2 linked regions of the Caenorhabditis elegans genome follow. The protein of the gene in region 1 purifies or fractionates together with the protein of each later gene. This does not show direct contact. Each region holds a gene or a part of one and is shown in the gene's direction. Other genes may lie near its edges.

Region 1 (6,432 bases):
TGAAGGTGTAGGTAGGCAAGTAGGCATGCTCAGGTCACCTAGAATGTAAGCAGGAAGACCGGCGTAGGTCGTGTTAGCAAACAAAGATAGATCGCCTGGAAGGCATATTTGCGCAAAACGGCATTGATCGCCTTGTAGGCAGGCGTACCTTGTAGGCAGGCGTAGTACATACGTCGAGTAGAACATAGTCATGAAATCCCTAAATGATACTATACCATTATTTAGTGTTGGTCCTCTATTCTATGGCTCGCGATGAAAAAGTTTCCTGCTCGATTTGCTCCATCCTATGATCCGATTTCCATGTGGACTCGTGAGGAAGTGAAAGAAATTCAAAAGCTTCCAAAAGAACAACAAGAAATAATGAAACAACAAATGCTTCCATTGAATAAAAGATTATTCCTACATCACAAATGGGATTTGATTCTCAATCAGAAATTGGAAGCAGGACTGGATGTCTCTGCTGGTTTACTGGAAATTCTGCGAACTGAGATAAAGAAGCATCATGATTTGGCTGGAACTCAATTTCAAAAAGAACAACTCCAAGAAACATTTGCGGAATTTGTGAAATCAGTCGCTGAACGACCACCAAGAAATGATTTATTGGGAACCAATGCAAAGAGTGAAGTTGTGACTCTATGTGCAGAAAAAGAGGATGGAACTGCAAGAGTGACCAAATTTATGCTAGTCCCCGGAATCGATGTTTTCAAACCAGAAGAGTACTATGATGATGCTGATGATATTGACAGAAAGAGATTTAATAATGAAATTGATAAGGTATTATATTTTCGTAGCCTGAAGGGTATTTCCTTTGAAGCTAGAGTTTTGAAAAGAAACCCAGTACTTTCAATTTTGAAAAGTCAATCAGAATAATTTTAGGTCATATTTCCATCAAAATGTATTATTGTAAAATTGACGAGTCTCAAATTAAAACTAAACAATACCAAAACGAAAACAAATTTTAGGAAACCTACAAAATTGCAAGAGAAGAAGCAACGTCTCAAAACAACTTTATGAATTCGGCCATCAAATTCAAGTAAACTTACTCTTAAATTAAAACTTTAATACATCTTTTAGGTACTACGGAAAAATCAAAAGATGACTTCTAAATGATGGATTAATTGTGATCTTTATTTGAAACATGAAATGAAGCATCTTGTTAACATAACATAGTATTATTTTGTTGGCAGGCAGAATATTTCGGAATTCCTGAAAAATCTGTTTTTTGTAGACTATTGCGGATAAGAGAATTTTGATCCCTTGTTAAATGTACTTTCCTCCAATCTGAAACTAGCGATATTCTTATACATATAAAACTTTCGTACGCCTTCGTTTAGAATATGGAGCAGTAGTGTTTTCTCTTCCAAAATCAATTGATGAAAAATCGAAATATCATGGAACGTAATGAACAGAAGCGAAATAATTGACAACATCGATATTATCGGAATGATGACTAAGTGTATTTTAAAAGATTTTGATTTTTTGGAGCACTACAAGACTCAAACCTAATCTAAAAATAACCAGAAATACTAGCTTCCAATAGAAGTGGCGTATTGATTCAGCGACATTGAAAAAGTTAAAAATGAAAAAAATCCGCCAATCGCAGGCGCTCAGCCCTTCTACTGGTAGATCAAACAAGGAAGAGACTGATATCACTAGTGATCTTGACCCACGGCGGCAGCGGTCGTATTCTGATTTAACTGCATTCTCTGCGTCTCTCACCGCGCTATATAAGGCGGCGAGAGAGCTCATTCGTGTTTTTCTCTCTCGTTTTTGTTTATTTGTTTATTTGTTTATTCTCGCTCGTTTTTTCTTGAAAAAAGGTATTTAAAAAGATCACCGAAAAAACGTGCGAGGCTTGCGAAATGAGCGTGCGGTGGTTGCGAGTTGGCACCGCCCACTGAAACCTTTTTTTTTTTGTAAATCCTAAAAATCTTCAATTTTGTCAGCAGCCAAGAAGCTTTTGCATTTTCCCTATAATTTTGTCGTTTATTTCACATTTTTGATTAGTTTTTGAACATTTTTAGTCGCTAATATGGTTGAAAAATGAACTTAAGTCTACAGAAAAGCGCGAAAAACTCCGAAATTAGGGTTTTTGTAATTATTTTGGCATAAAATTCGCCATAATTTAATCCTTCAGCGTTGTCTTTCATTTTATACGTATACGCGTTTAAAACTCTTGAAAAGAACATTTTTTCCAGATGCCGGAGGAATATATCATGTCGTCAAAGGCGTGCATCTACGTCTTGGGCGGTGCGGCCAACACGGCCGCCCTGTTTGATTTCGACGGCGTCTACATTCTCGATGGGGGGTTCGCCGAAAAGAACCCGGGATTTGTGGCTCACGTCAGGGACGTCTCTGCCGTTCTGCTCGCCGCTCCGACGCTGGGAAATCTTGGAACCACGTCTGCTCTGTTGGAACAGGTTTGTAGAATTTTTAATGAAAATTTTGATAATCTACTTTTTCAGGGAAAACCGTTGCCGGTGTTCACCAACACGAAGCCGTTCAAGACTGCCAAGCCGGGAAGCAGTGGAGAGATTGCCAAAGCAATTCAAGAAGCGAACTCGAAGCTTCTCTCCGTTGCACCGCCACTGTTCAACCCGAAATATCCGGCACACATCATATACCAGTCTGCTGCAAAAGGAGTTCTCTCCATGTATATTCTGGCTGGAGACGTCAAAGACTCCGATATGATCACAAAGGCGTTGGCAGGAGGAAACGAGGCAGAAGTGGAGAAGGCGGCCGCTGAGAATGGAACCATCGGCGTCCTGCTCTGGAGGCCTGCGATGACGGATCAATCGGCGGTCAGAGTGCTTATTTCGGGGACGAGCTCACTTGCGAGGATCCAACAATCGCTCGACAAGGCAGCGAAATCACTTCCATTCCTCAACGCGCCCACCGTGAAGTCGAAGGATGCGTTGTTGGGTATTCCTGCTCCTGCCGTTCCACGACCTGTTGCCGGGAAACCGTCTACTAGATCTGCATCTACAACCGGCGCCGCAAGAACTCGTCCAGCAGTCCCTGCAGTCAGTGCCCCCAGAGCGTTGACTTCTCGTGCTCCAGCAGGCCCAGCTCGTCCGACGACTACACGAAGTGCAACTCCTGCTACCAGAACTGCCGTTCCACCGAGAGCAACTGCACCACCGAAGGCCGCTCCAGCATCGAAGGCTCCGACTAGAGCTCCAATTCCAGCGAGATCTGCACCAGCGCCACCAAGAGGAGCCCCTGCGAAGGCACCCAAGGCCGAGCCTATCGCTCAGAAGAAAGTCGCTGGCAAAGTTCAAAGAGCCGCTCCATCGAAGCCTGCTTCGGCGGTCTCAGCTCCAAAAGCTACAGCTCCAGCTTCGACATCATCGGCTCCAGCTACAGCTCCAGAAGCTTCTCGAAGGGTAAGTTGATTTCTTTCATTCCGATCGGTAGATCTCTAGTCCTCTGCTTTTCCTTTTTCGCTTAGCAGTGGTGTGTTTCATTTCAGGATCCGAACGACGTCACCATCGTTCTCGACGACTCGCTGTTTCCAGAAGATTTCAACCAAGGATCGGCTCCAATGGATATTGTCGTGATTCCACCAACACCGGAACCACCACGTCTTGAAGAGGCTCGAGCCACGCATCCAAAGGAACCGATAGTTGACGCCGAGGACTTGGCGAAGGTGATAAGAACTTTTGACACAGAAACCGAAAATATATTTCAATTTTTCACTGAATATATCTAGTTTTTGATGCATTTCTATGTCGTTGATGTCTGTGTAATTAGATTTTTGTATTAATATTGTGGTATTGTCATGGTGAATCGGTATATTTCAGGCTCCACATGAAGTCGATGATGTCGCAAATCTGGCTGACGTCGAAGACGAAATTCCGCCACCAGTTGACGCGTTCAAGAAGCCAGAGCCACGTCCAGAGACGAATGTTGCTGGCGGTTCCGGGGAAGACAGGATTTCAGAGCCAGTCGATGCTTTCAAGAAGCCGGATCCAGTCGAGCTGGACGATTTCGATCCACTGAAGCCATCACACCCCGACCCATCTGCACCAGTTGTGCCAAGTGGTGATTTGATCATCGCTACTCCTGATCCAGAGCTCCCGAACATTGTTGCTGCTGTTCCATTCATTCCTCCATCACCAAAGGGACCAAATGATGGTCTTGTGAAGTTGGATGATGAACTGGAGAAGATTGCTCCTGGGTTTGAGGTAAAATATCCCAAAATTGTTATTTTTCAGCATGCAAATGAACTCACTTTTCTATCCAAAAAATGCTTGAAATTTTCAAATTTCACTCTCAATTTTCAAAATTATTTAATTTTCAGGAACCACTGATCCCCCAAGCTCCACGTGACGATGGCACTCTTGCCGAATTCAATGAAGATGTGTCCAAATTAGTTGACATCAGCATGGATACTAACAGCGCTGAAGTTGCAGCGGATCTTGCCAAGGCCGTTGGAGAAGTCACTCAGTTGTCGGCAGAACTTCAGAATCTGGCTCTCGACGAGAAGACGGATGAGTATGTGCGAAAGCTGAGCAATCAGATGATTGAGGACGCCACTCTGCCATTCACCAGTGCACTTGCCAGCAGCATTGTTACCTCGAACGGATCGGAAACGAACGGCCACGGGGAACAAGCACATGCAGCACAAAATGGAGGAATCAAGATTCCGAAGCATGATTTGATGCAGTCGCACTCCAATGTGATTGAGAATGGAGCTGCTGTAAAGTACGAGAAGACTGATCCAGCATTGGATGCTGTACTCAATGCATGTGCACAGGAGAGTGAACAGGTAGTTTAATATGTTTAAAAGTTCAGAAAAACCGTTTTCTGTTAGGATTAACCGATATTTTGAACGTAAATTGAAAAATTGTGATTTCTATGAGGAACAAAAAAAAATGAAAATTTGTACAAAAAGGAACAATTTCCAAAAACTCACATTCTTTAAAATCATTCCTAACTGATCAAGCCTGATCATGGAGGGAATCTGTGTATTTATTCTTGAAAAAGAATTTCAAGAGTAATTACATGTATTTTCACCGAAAACATTAGAAAATATATTTAATTTCAATGTAAAATTTAATTTTCCAGATCGATGCCTCTCATCCAGAAAATCTCCACATGCCAGCTGCTCCAGGATCCGTCGCCTCAGCGAAGCCAGTCAAATTCGCGCGTCCATACTATTTCGACGTGGTCACAGTGCCAAGGAACGAGAAATTGGAGACCTCCGTTGAAGCAGACGGTCTGCAAGAGTTCATCTCAAAGGTGCGCTCGAGAAATGTGATCCTCGCGTCGAAGGAAATCTCCGGAGAGCAGCTGCAGTCGATTCTCAGAGGAAAGCAAACATGGTGTGATCGTGGTAAGCTCATTCTCAAATTTGGCAAGTTTTATAAATTATTTTTCAGCTCATCCATGCAACGTGATCCCAACACATTCCTCTCCGATGCTGCACGATTTCCGCCAGAAGAACGAGGAGCAATTCGCCGCGAATCATCTGCAGTTTTCAATGCCCGTGGAGAAGCAGCGGACGACAGTGAGCTCGGACGCCGGAGTCGTTGAGTATGATTTGGCCAGAGTCGATTTGCTTTAATTGACTGCCAATCAATCTCCCACCATCGCCACCAATCTCCCCCACTATTTTCCTGTGAATTTTTGCACCCCCCCCCGCATAACTTATTTATTATTTTTCCCCCCGAGTAAATTTATTGCAAAGTTTTCATGTTTTATATAGCCCCCATCTTTTGGCCCCCTCCGAATGCTGTCCACCATACCTCAATTATTTATAGTATATTTATTGGCAGTTTTTTGCCAAATTCAATCATTAAATACAGTGTTTTAGCAGTCGTTCATGACATTGCTCCAACCACTTTGAAAATATGAATCAGGGGTGGGCGGCAATTGCAGTTCGACAAATTGGCAATTTGCCGATTTGACGTTTGCCGGAAATGTTTAGAGGGATATTTTATCAGACGGAAACACTTCAAACTGCCTTTTTGGAAATTTTCTCAGATTTTTCTCGATATTTTCATAGAATTAGCTTATTTTTCAAAATAGATATAGTAACATTGATAGGATGCGTACAATTTTGAAAGTTAAATTCTGAATTTACCAAAAAAAAAGTGCCGATTTGCCGGAAATTTCAATTCTGGCAATTTGCCGATTTGTCGATTTGCTGGAAATTATCAATTTCGACAAGTTCGGCATTTTGCCTGTCTGCCGATTTGCCGGAAATTTCAATTCTGGCAATTTGCCGATTTGTCGATTTGCTGGAAATTATCAATTTCGACAAGTTCGGCATTTTGCCTGTCTGCCGATTTGCCAGAAATTTCAATTCCGGCAAGTTGCCGGTTTGCCGATTTGCCGGAAATTTTCAATTACGGCAAATCGGGAAATTTCAATTCCGTCAATTTGCCGATTTGCCGGAAATTTCAATTCTGGCAATTTGCCGATTTG
Region 2 (3,501 bases), on another chromosome or scaffold:
GATATTCTAAATTGAACTTTTAAAACAAAATTAGTCAATTTATTTAACGATCACCTTTTTACTAAACTCTGCATCTCTAACCATTACTCCAACAACTGGAAGTTTGTAAAATGAAAGTGTATATGCTGATGATGTAACCAAATCAATAAATCTTGAAGATGATGTCAGTAATGGAGAAAATATAACAGAAGCCAATGAGTGATTGAGCATCTGGCTGCACACAATATCCTGAGTCAATTCCAGACGATTATCTCCACTGAATATAAGAAATGTCTTTCTCGGGGGAAAAGCTCAACAAATAATAATTTCGAAAACCTTTTTGCATCTACAAAAGCTGCGGAAATAGTGTCATTCCCCAAGTGATATGATGTGCTTCCAAAAACTTCCACGAATGCCGCCTGAAAGAAATTAAGAAGAAAAGTTGAAAATATGATATTTTGTGAATATGAATATGCTAATTTAAAAGTTTGGAGCTTCTTCTATAATGCCGAGTTTGTAAGTTTTTAAAGTAAAAATTTCAAAACTTACCGTAACGGAAACTTTCAATTCTTTGAAAGTTTCTTGATTCGGCTCAGAAACAATTAAAACTGATACTTTATAGTCTATTGTGTATCCCAATTGTAAAAATATCCAAATAAATATAACTGATATTCGGAACATATCTGTAACAAAACTAAAGTTTGTCGTGTTCCAAACAGAAGCAAGATAATTGAAATTTTGGAACTTTAAACGGGTTTTTAAATGGAAAGTAAAACGAGGTAGTAGAAGGATGGAAATAAGAGAAAAGTGGCAGTGCTCTTCTCTTTTCAACAAAAAAACGTATTCTACTTTCACCTCTTCTCCTTCCGAATAAGAGAAAAGAAGACGAAGAAAGATGATTTGGTGGGCACATTTGAGCAAAAGGAAAACGGGCGAAATTGAGTAAAGGAAATGGGTTGAAAAATGGGTGGAGCAGTGAGAAAGAGCACTGGATACTAGTTGATTAAATTATTTCAAAATTCAAATTGTTCTTGAACGGTTATCAGCGGATATTACAAAATCCGTTCCAAAAAATTTTTAGAACTCTATCGAAGAAATTGAAATTTTAAACGTTTTTTTGGAAATTCTGAAAATATGTCAACTTTTTGTTGCTTCTGTAATAAAAAATTACCACTAAGACCTTCAAACCAAACTGTGTCACGAATATTTAGATCTTTCTACTTTCAGATCACGACGTTTGAACGATATGCTCAAAATACAAAACATTAAAATTCAAGTTTTGGGCATTTTTCTTTTTCAAACTTTTTCAAAAGATAAATTATTTTATTAGTTCAGAAGGGTATATACGAGAAGTATACCACTTGATTTTTTATTTCAAAAGCGACACTGGAGCTCCTACCCCGTTCTGACATATGTCTATTCAGAATTTCTTGGGTTCATCATAACATCATAAGCATTCATCTAAAAATACCTCCTCAAAATCCTATTATTTTTTCGATTTCCTTGTTTCCTATGAATCACATAAGTATTCCGTGTAATATCTCGTGCTGTGTGCGGGCGTCGCCGCAAGGAGGAGCTATGATCATCACAAAAGAGCACTTCAATTCGTACACAGAGGGGCGGAGTCAGACATTCTAAAGTGAGATAAAAGCATCTTCACAACCCATGGAATGTTCATTTCTAGATATTTTTTCTTGATTTCTAGACTTTCTCAAGTTCATAATTTTATAATTTTCAGTCAAATCTTATACTTTCAGAAATGGTTGTTGCAAAGCCTACAGCAGCAGTTTCCATTGAAGATCTTATCAAGAAACATTCCGATGTTGATCCGTTCCTTGTCAAGAAGTGGGAACGCATTTTCTCACTATTTTTTGGTTAGTTTTCCCACTCTTTTTTACTTTCAATTATATGTTTCAGATAGAAATGCTTCTCATCAAGTCGATTGGGGAGATTTTTACTTGGTTGTCAAGGTGAGAATTATTTTTAGAATTCTAAATTCTATTATTTTCTTTTAACCTTCCAGAAAGTCCGTGACATTTACGGAGCTGAATCAGTTCAAACTGGCTTTGCCAAGAAATCTCTTGCTGCTCTCTGGGAAGGACTGTGCTCCATTGCTGATGCTGATAAGGATCAATTGATCTCGATTGATGAATGGATCGGACTTTTGAAGAAGACCGATGCGAAGACTGAACCAAAATGGTTCAAGGACTATCAGAACTTTATGTTCAAACTTTTTGATGTTTCCTGTGATGGAGTCATGGATCTTGCCGAGTATACCGATGGAATGAGTACATATGGATTTGATCAATCCGAGTGTGATGCAGCTTTCCATAAGTTTTCAGTGGTGGGATTTAAATATTTTTTTGATTAATTTAAAAGGAATTATTTCAGGACAAGAAAGGTCAATACGTTCCACAAATGAAGCCAGAGACCTGGAACACATACTTCCATCAGTTGTTCTACTCAACAAATAAATCTGACGTTGGAAATCATCTCTTCGGAATTATTGACTTTTAAATTTTCCTTGCTCTATACCATGTACATTGTTCATCCCCCACACCCTTAAAATATTCTGAAAACCCTTCACTTTCCACTACTTTTCTAATGCTTTACAACATATAGTATTATTTTTGAACATACAACCTTTAATTTGTCTCTGACACCAGATGTGCTTGAGCATAAAAATTCAGATAAAATCATGACAAACAAGTAATTTTGATGAATGATCCTCCAGATGTTTGGGTAAAATAAAAAGTTTCCGAGAAACTTTAAATTTTTATAGTGGCTCGGGAAAACTCGGGATTGTTTGTTGGTTGGATTGTTAGAAGGGAAAGAGCATAACATACAATGGTTTAATTCTTTTTGCTGACTTTTCAGTAAAGACTTGGCAGTAAAAACTGGAAGCTTACGAAAAGCCGCTGAATGAAGCCATTGTATTTTGCTCTTAGAAGCAGTAACTATATTTTTGCGGTTTCAAAACATATTTGAGATTCAATAAATTGAGAAATTATAGAGCACAAGTGTCGCAAAAAATAGAGGCGCTCGTCATTTGGCTCCAGTTTCTCGCCCTAGTTTGGCCCAGAAATTATTAACGCGAATCAGAAGTTGGCCAAACTTGGGCAAAAGCTGAACTCTGGGATAACGTGCCAAAAAATATTTTTTGAGCCGCGCCTGAGCAAGAAACCGGAGCCAAATGCCAAGCGAGTCAAGATATCTGTTTAATTCAAAAATAATTTATCGAAAGCCTTACTCGTAATGACTGTAAAATTCCTCCTATTCAAAAAGTTGGCTCAATTCCAAGGGTACTTCTTGTTTACAAACAACTACGTGTGTTTTCAGGTATCAAATAACCTAAAAACATTTCTTCTATATCTAAAATAGCTTACCTCCCACCCCAACTGACCCATTTTCTCTCTGTCTCCCACCTGATCTAAACTTATAACAGACAACACATGTGCGTCCATTATTTTTGTGACACTGCGTGGGAAAGAGTGGACCACCAGCTGACAATCCCGGCGATCA

The links.
Region 2: the proteins of maph-1.2 (region 1) and cex-1 fractionate together in Caenorhabditis elegans (co-fractionation; one large-scale study listed by BioGRID). This does not show direct contact.

Annotation. Positions count from the first base shown.
Region 1 is NC_003279.8:10,417,625-10,424,056, reverse strand, and holds maph-1.2 (Microtubule-associated protein futsch), read left to right. Parts: upstream 1-2,198; coding exon 2,199-2,420; intron 2,421-2,465; coding exon 2,466-3,386; intron 3,387-3,472; coding exon 3,473-3,649; intron 3,650-3,803; coding exon 3,804-4,187; intron 4,188-4,303; coding exon 4,304-4,771; intron 4,772-5,070; coding exon 5,071-5,338; intron 5,339-5,384; coding exon 5,385-5,569; 3' UTR 5,570-5,823; downstream 5,824-6,432. Other genes in the region: paml-2 (EGF-like domain-containing protein), read left to right, coding at 226-774, 963-1,033, 1,075-1,099.
Region 2 is NC_003280.10:5,445,945-5,449,445, forward strand, and holds cex-1 (Calexcitin-1), read left to right. Parts: upstream 1-1,736; 5' UTR 1,737-1,738; coding exon 1,739-1,853; intron 1,854-1,896; coding exon 1,897-1,949; intron 1,950-2,002; coding exon 2,003-2,323; intron 2,324-2,370; coding exon 2,371-2,496; 3' UTR 2,497-2,690; downstream 2,691-3,501. Other genes in the region: nmr-1 (LITAF domain-containing protein), read right to left, coding at 1-6, 55-256, 316-398, 529-660.